2 linked regions of the Neodiprion lecontei genome follow. The protein of the gene in region 1 interacts with the protein of each later gene in a pairwise test. Links are inferred from orthologs where the notes say so. Each region holds a gene or a part of one and is shown in the gene's direction. Other genes may lie near its edges.

What was found.
Region 2: the proteins of kinesin-like protein unc-104 (region 1) and liprin-alpha-1 interact in binary tests that used the Caenorhabditis elegans proteins (3 or more experiments, as listed by UniProt). The link is inferred for Neodiprion lecontei from reciprocal best matches to the Caenorhabditis elegans genes unc-104 and syd-2.

The regions. Positions count from the first base shown.
Region 1 is NC_060260.1:31,939,449-31,943,374, reverse strand, and holds the start of kinesin-like protein unc-104, read left to right. Parts: upstream 1-1,503; 5' UTR 1,504-1,574; intron 1,575-3,926. Other genes in the region: superoxide dismutase [Mn], mitochondrial, read left to right, coding at 40-77, 291-583, 748-1,076. UniProt on the Caenorhabditis elegans protein: Motor protein involved in microtubule-associated anterograde transport. Regulates the transport of synaptic vesicle precursors in the axon of DA motor neurons. Regulates the polarized sorting of axonal proteins.
Region 2 is NC_060262.1:1,948,868-1,952,793, forward strand, and holds the start of liprin-alpha-1, read left to right. Parts: upstream 1-1,112; 5' UTR 1,113-1,773; coding exon 1,774-2,022; intron 2,023-3,926. Other genes in the region: transmembrane protein 183, read right to left, coding at 1-10, 78-188, 368-451, 585-654. UniProt on the Caenorhabditis elegans protein: May play a role in regulating the structure of the neuronal region, called the active zone, from which synaptic vesicles send neurotransmitter signals across the synapse. This may be in association with the liprin-beta protein hlb-1.

The DNA.
Region 1 (3,926 bases):
TATTGTGATAAGCAGTAATTTATTATTCATTATTGGACTATGTTTGCTGCAAGACGTGCCTTCGTGACAGGGGCTCTGTAAGTATTGAATCACATTTATAGGTTTTGATTGTTTAAATTGCGTATTATGTAATTGTTAACCTAAGATTATTGGTTAATTTTCACAATGACATGTATCTAGACCAGTTAGATAATCCTCGATAGAGAATTTCATCGGAGCGACTTTGATCTACATTGCTAAATAAACGATTCTTCACGGTTATATGATATCTATTTCTAAAAATTTTTAAGGAGCGCCAAGAATGTTGCCAGGCAAAAGCACACTCTGCCTGAGTTGCCCTACGACTACAGGGCACTGGAACCAGTCATCTGTGCAGAAATCATGGAGCTTCATCACAGTAAACATCATGCAACGTATGTAAACAATTTGAACATTGCTGAGGAAAAATTGAAGGAAGCTGTGAGTAAGGGTGACGTCAATACTGAGATTGCATTGGCACCTGCGATTAAGTTCAATGGCGGTGGACATTTGAATCATTCCATCTTTTGGAACAATTTGTCGCCCAATGGTGGGAAACCAGATGGTTAGTTATATTTGAAATTCTCAGTTGGATTTATGACTCAATGTTTTATTGATTTTTCTCAAGTATGACGAGAAAAATGGTTGATTATCAATTATGGGTATTCCAATTTTTTCCTGAGGGTGCTAATCAATGCCAGGTATATTTTCTTGATGCATTTTGTTCAGGTGCTCTCCTCAAGCAAATTGAAAAGGATTTCTCCAGTCTGGAAGAACTGAAGAAACGACTTTCGGAGGCCACTGTCGCCGTTCAAGGTTCTGGCTGGGGCTGGCTTGGGTACAACGCTAAAGATAAAAGGTTACAGATTGCAGCCTGCGCTAATCAAGATCCTCTGCAAGCCACAACAGGACTTGTGCCACTGTTTGGTATCGATGTTTGGGAACACGCATATTATCTCCAGTACAAGAATGTCAGACCAGAGTATGTCAAGGCGATATGGGACATTGCAAATTGGAATGATATCAATGACCGCTTCAAGAAAGCAGCTGGATGTTAGATGTACTGCCCCAAGCATTTATAGTTTCTAGAAAGTCACTAGAGACTCAAGACGATTGAGTACTGTCTTTGAAATTAAATATCAATATCTCACTTTATTACACAATCGAAATACTCCGGATATTTTATTCAGTGTAAATTACTTTATACATAAAATTATATTCTATTCAAAAATTAATTCTGCGTAAAAAACTTCCACCTGTCCTACAACGTTAGATGACTTGATATTCTCATCTTTTAGTATAAAATGTACAAGAATCGAACCGTTGGCTGATTACAGATGTTACCAACATGATATACCTTTTTGACAAATTAGTTTGGTAAATATTACTCCTGTATTTCTCAATATTTGAACAAAATTACGTCGCGTGACAAAAACGTATCGGCGCTTCATAGATATCGATCGCGCGCGCAGAAACGAAGGAACGCCGGAATTCGAACCACTTGATAGTATGGCTGCTCGACCTCAGCTGTTTTCGGATCTTCTTCGGCCTATCTGGTAAGTCAAGAGGTTACTTTCGCATAATGATAATTTCCATATTATTCAAAGTTTTCCAACACAATCGTCATTTCTTCGGTGTCGTTTTATCAGCTGCACAGCTCCTCACGCTGCATCAATCAACTTCATATCAATAACTATGCATGCGAAGTTTGCATACAAAGTACTGTCAACACTTTGACAGTTTATTTATTTACACCCACTCATACTCACGCGCGATGCGCGTTGTTTTTATATTGCCGATTCATTATTCATCTTCGCGAATTCTAAATTCGTATTTCAGACAGTATTTACGCGACTTCTTTATTTCTTTGTACGGTTCATGTCATGCATCGATTCATGCGTAATTGTACTTTTGAATCTTAGCCAGAACAATGGGAGTCTTGAATTGATCTCATTAATAGCTCGGTGAAATTTTTTTCACAATTTTTTACCGCCGCTACAATACAATACGATCAGGACGCAACACCTCCGCGAATTTGCAGCTTAGAGGCTTTGTCGCAGTAACTGATGAGCTTATTTAGAGCGTACGTCGAACCAATTAATCGAACCTTACAATTCACCTCCGAAAGTTTATCCATGTCTGTAAATATGCGAAACCACATCGTCTTCCATTTACATACGGAATTCTGTGTTTACTTATTCTTTTCTTCAAATTAACAGAAAAGTGAAAAATCCATCGACGTAAAACACACGAGCTGAAAATATATCCCCCGCAAAATGCGACAGGGGTTATTTCATCTCGTCGCGGATAGATCCTCTCCCAATTTGTGGTATAACAAAAAGTTGCTGGTTTCGATATGTGTGACAAAGTTATCACCGGATAACAATCATTGATTCCTGGGTTGGATGGCGCCGTGCGACCTGAAGCGTCGCGACGCCCCGCAAAACACGAGCCTGTTAGCTCTTCGATATCCACCCTTTCAATTGCACATGCAATAGATCTGGTTTGGTTCGTTATCGCTGCGCGTCACTCGATAATTCTCCGATCATCAACAGTCGCTGCGATCTCCCTGCATGCAATGAAACTTTTCTGCCTCCCAGTTTTACCCGATCGTATTTAAACGGGAAATTCGAATACGGCCGAGACTGCAGATGCTCCGAATTCCTGAGGGCTACTTGCAAGTTCTCACCCTCGGTGAATTTAATTAAAAGGCAGTCAATCACTTGAAATTCTTTTAATTTTCCCCGTCACGAAACGTGAAGAATAAAGTAGCTATACTTGAAGGGCGATTGTCAGGTTTTCCAATGTTCAATTTTACGGAATGTTATTAGGCAGGCAGATGACATCGATTATTGAGTCAAAGTGCAAAAACTGAAACTCGTAACGCAGTTGAAAGAGTTGTTTTTCAACGTATGTCACACTGCAATGCAAAATGAGAGGGAGAAATATACGGAGAAGGATTGTATATAGCTACGTTCGGTCTTACTGACGAGCTTCTGGCAAAACGAGTCACATTCGACCGTCCACTTTTACTGTAAATCTCTTCAGCATCCACCCGCGTTTTAAAACTGCGCGACATACATTTCCGACGCTACGCACACCTGAGCTGAGCTTCCGAGGTGAGCGCGGGAATCGTATTAGCTAAGCTGCGGAGAGAAAACTTGGCTTGTATGCAGAGGCTGATGAAGTTATTAATTTATCAAAGGCCACCAGCTCTACATCGAGTGGGAATTTTATACGAGAATTTCACGTCCGTCAAGGCCCTCCAGAATTCTGTACTTTTATTCGCAAAAACTCACGGGCTTGCATGTTATACATATAAATACTTCAATGCCAGAAGAGATGTCTCGCTTTTCGATCCCTTTGTCTCGTGCGGTATGAGTGATTTTTTTATTTTTCTTTTTTAGAATGCATCTCACATTCAGCTCGCTCTTTGATTTCTTTTTACCCATTCTCTGTATGTGCTCGTTTTAATGAGTTTCGAGATTAACCGCAGCTGGTGTACCTAAGCAATATGCAGTTTATCGGGATTACCGTTCGTAAATTGCGTCCTCGCATAGTATTCCTGAAAATTCTTTACCTGTACGGTGGTTTATTCCATTTTAAGACCCGAAATTAAAATACGCGTGCTTATACGCAGGTATACTAGACGTATAAGCCGTATACCTGAGCGAGTGCGCTAAAGTGGATACAAAACTTTTTTTGCACGATGGAAAAATCTGTATAGCACTTTGCTACGCAATCGTGCATGAAAATAAATCCCATGGAGAGAGCTGGGGTAGTGAGGGAAAAAAGCTCTCCACACCCCACAGATTGACAATGTCGGAGATTGAAATGTGTCTGAAAGAATAAAACTTATACCATGTTTTGCAATACTTCAAGTGAAAATGAGGTTAACTATAGATGCA
Region 2 (3,926 bases), on another chromosome or scaffold:
ATCACGACCTCTGAAAGTAAACAATTGTCATTAGTAGGGGAAAGTTGTCTCTGCCACAGACGGAAGACTAGACTCACCCTTTTTACCATCTTCATTTTCCTGTTCGATAAACTCAAAGTCGCCCTCAAATTCGTCGAGTTTTTCATCCCAAGCACGATTATCCTCCTCCTTGATCATTATCTGCTTAACTGAAATTAGAGAAGTGCAAAATACAGATAGTTGAAAAATGGGAATCGCCTAATTCCTACGAAATCGTCGAAAATCGTGATAACCTGAGACTCAGACGCGGTAGAAAGTCGACGGCAAGGTCACGAAAGTCGAGTGAGTTGGCCGGTTATTCAATATTTTGACAGATGTTCAAACTAACCTTCACTAGAGACGTTTGTTGTTGCTTTTTTAAGCCTCGCGTGGTTGCCCGATGGAGAATTGGCGAAGTCGTTCAGCGTGACGTCTGAAATATCAATTTTTTTCTCTTTAAGAATGGCTAAGGATTTCGATGAGGAAGCTTTCGGTGGTGGAAAATATCCTCGGGAAGATCTGTGTATATTGCATCATCCACAAAGTACTGGAATTATTATTCTAACCTCCCAAGCTCTTCTTGTTGTACTGATGCGAAGTCAGCTTTCGCCTTGCCGCCTTACGTGATCCCGGCATCTCGCTAAATAATAATATTTGCACTTTTCTATAAAACAAATTCTATGCATCTTGTTACCGAATGAAAAACAACAAAATAATCTATTAATCTTCTCAGAAACCAACCACCACTATCGTCAGCCATGTTGGACTGCGGACAGCCAGAAAAAACGTCGACTGAAGGTCGGGTTTGCCTTTCGCGCTTCAAAAGCTCTCTTACCAACTCGCGGTCATTTTTTTCTACCGAAAACCGTCGTCGTTGCGTGCAATGATTCCCAATATCCGTCATTCCTGCATAATCTATCTTCCGAAGTTACTCGCGAACAAACGAATATGCTGCGTGTGTTCTAAATACTCACATATTCGATATCTACAAATCAACGTATCATCAAATTTTGAATACTTTTTGAATACAGCCTGATTTAACCGAGTGAAGTGAAGTTGGCCGCGTACAAACAGCGCTCAGGTAGCCAAGTCGATAAGTAGTTCGAAAAGCAGCCACTCGTGGCGCGACAGTCCGACGGCGCATCTACGATCCTTGTGCTCCCGGGCGAGTGAAATCTGACGTGTGACGTCATACAGCAAGATGGCCGCGGGTGTCGAAAATGGAGTAGTGTAGGCCATTGGGTGGTAGGAATTTGTAGGTGTGTCAAGAGAGTCTAGTTTATTCGTCCGAGTTATAATGTCGCTAAGATGCCGGTGCATTGATACGTGGGTTTCGGCGTTCGGCTGCAAGCGGTTGTCGGCGTGGGGCGCGGGCACCGCGTCGAGCTAATACATCATTTCAATAATAATACGGGGGGGAGTATTTCGTATCCTGGTTATCGAGTGATTACACACGAACACTGTAAGCGAGAGAGAGCGAGAGAGGGAGAGAGAGAACCAGAGAGTAATAAAGAGATCGGGATTCATAGAGAGAGAAAGAAAGAGAGAGACGGACGCTCGCAGTCGGTCCTGCGGGATAAAACGTCGGAGGATATTCACCCTCGGCAGGCGAAAAACGGGGGCGTGTATGTGCGGTTTTTGGGCGAAGGGCGGATACTTCGGAAAGGGATTAGATCGTGACAGTGGGTGTTAAGTGTGTACCGTGGGTGGTGTCTGTGTGTGTGCGACTGTGTGCGTGTCCGTGTTGACTAAAAAATGTGGAACATGATGTGCGACGTGATGCCGACGATATCGGAAGACAGCATCAGTCAGCGGAGTTCCCAGTTCTCGGGCGAGGATGCGAACTTCGAACAGCTGATGGTGTCGATGCTCGACGAGCGCGACAAGCTGATGGACTCGCTCAGGGAGAGCCAAGAGCGACTCCAGGAGGCCGAGGCTCGTCTCCAGGAGGTTGAGAAGGAGCGCGACGCCCTCAACCGACAGATAAACGCGAACATTCCCCAGGTGAGAAAAGGTCCGGGGCGAATTAGCGCCGATCGATCGATCCCGGGAAGTCGAGAAACTCGCCGCGAGAAGACCCAGCGATATTCGCCCTCTTCTCTTCTCGAGTCCGCAGCCTAGTGCCCGGGTCTTTGCCCCCCTCCCTCAAACAGCTTCTCTATCTCTCTCTGTCTCTTTTTTTTTTTTTTTATATATCCCCCTTTTCTTTTTTCCGCCTTTTCCTCGCCTCCCTCTCGCTACCGCGCCGGTGGCGACCTCGAAATGCGAGATATTTCGAGGCTTATTGATTGCCGCCCGCCGGCGGGACACCCTCGCGCCATTTTCCGACTTTGGATGAATTACTGCTGCTGATTTTGTTGTTGTTGTTGTTGTTGTTCCGATCCTGTCGGATCTCCCTAAATTTTTAACGATCACGAGCGGCGAACTACCGAGCGAGATCACCCTGAAGCTGGCAGCGAACTGCGCTGGACTTCTTTTGTTTTTCACTCCCGATTAATCAGAGTACCAACTTCAATGATCTGTGTATTTTATGCCCGAAATTTTTTCATTGACATGCGACACAGTTTCGTTTCTTAGGCTTATCTGATTTTCTTTCTTCTTCTTTCGACGTCAATTTTTATCGATGGCTTCGTAGATTCGCGGGATCAGACTCTTTGATCTCGATTTCGAACGAACGGATTTGGTGATTTCCGCTTGCTTAACGTCAATCTCGAGTCATTTTTTTCCACTATGATTTCTGTCTTGTTATGCGGTTTTCCTTGATTTCTGTACTACGGCAAACGGTTTCTAATTCGTGTTTACAATTTTACTACCGATTTCTGCTGAATGATTTTACAACGTCTTGGTGATGTTCAGTGATTTATACGTTGTGTTAGGTAGAACAACGGGGAATTGTTAAACAATCACAGAAAATCATTGCAGAAATGAGAGGAGTAATGTTATAAATTGATCAAGATCAGTTGACGAGTTGAAAATCAACGTAAAATCACAGGCTAAAGCAGAAATCGCGTCAAATTGAAGTTGGCAACGTTATCGTAACGATTCGTGCTGAGGAAAGAAAAACGTTACGTCGCGATTTTGCAATTTTCTGAAATTCAGTAAACCGTAATGAAACACACTCGTTTTTTGAAATCTTGGTCCCTTAAAAATGGTGTAAAATGAAAAAATTGCGATGTTTTCCCCAATGTTTCGTTACGATAATAACGTTACTAAACTTCAACCTCGTGAAATCGCTCGTAATCACTAAAAACAAGAGAACATAAGACAGAAATCATATATTTGAAATTGTCGTAAATACATTTGAAGTTGAATCATACATAGACGATAAAAAATTTTATGAGCCTGTTGTGATATTCTTTCGAGATGATTTTTGTCTCTCGATATTACACAATTCCTTAATATATTCGAACTTATGTCTATTTAGAAAATTAATAATTTTTCCTATTAGATTTATCGTTCCTAAAACTCGAGATAGATTTTTACCAATCATCATTTTACCCCGTTACTATCACTACGTATAAACAGAAACTATAATCATTTAACGGTCGACTGTCGTTTTCTGTTTGCAATATTCTTCCCCTCTTGATTAATGCAGGGAACATGCAGCGAACATGTGCGCAAACATTTTTATCAAAGAAAACGTATAAAATAAATCACAAATAAACTCTCAAGCCGTCCGTCGATGATGATAAAGACTCGGGAATTCGCGACGATGTTTCACGACAAACGTGTTGTCTCGTTGCACGGTTTTACTTTTCATTCCCGATATGACCCAGAGTCGCCCCTCGATTTGATCAGCCTGAAGTTTGTAACATTATTGCAATGCTGGATATTTGGAAACAGTAGTCATTTTACAATTTTAAAATTACTTGAAATTTAGTAAACCGTTAATACAGAATCAAGGAACT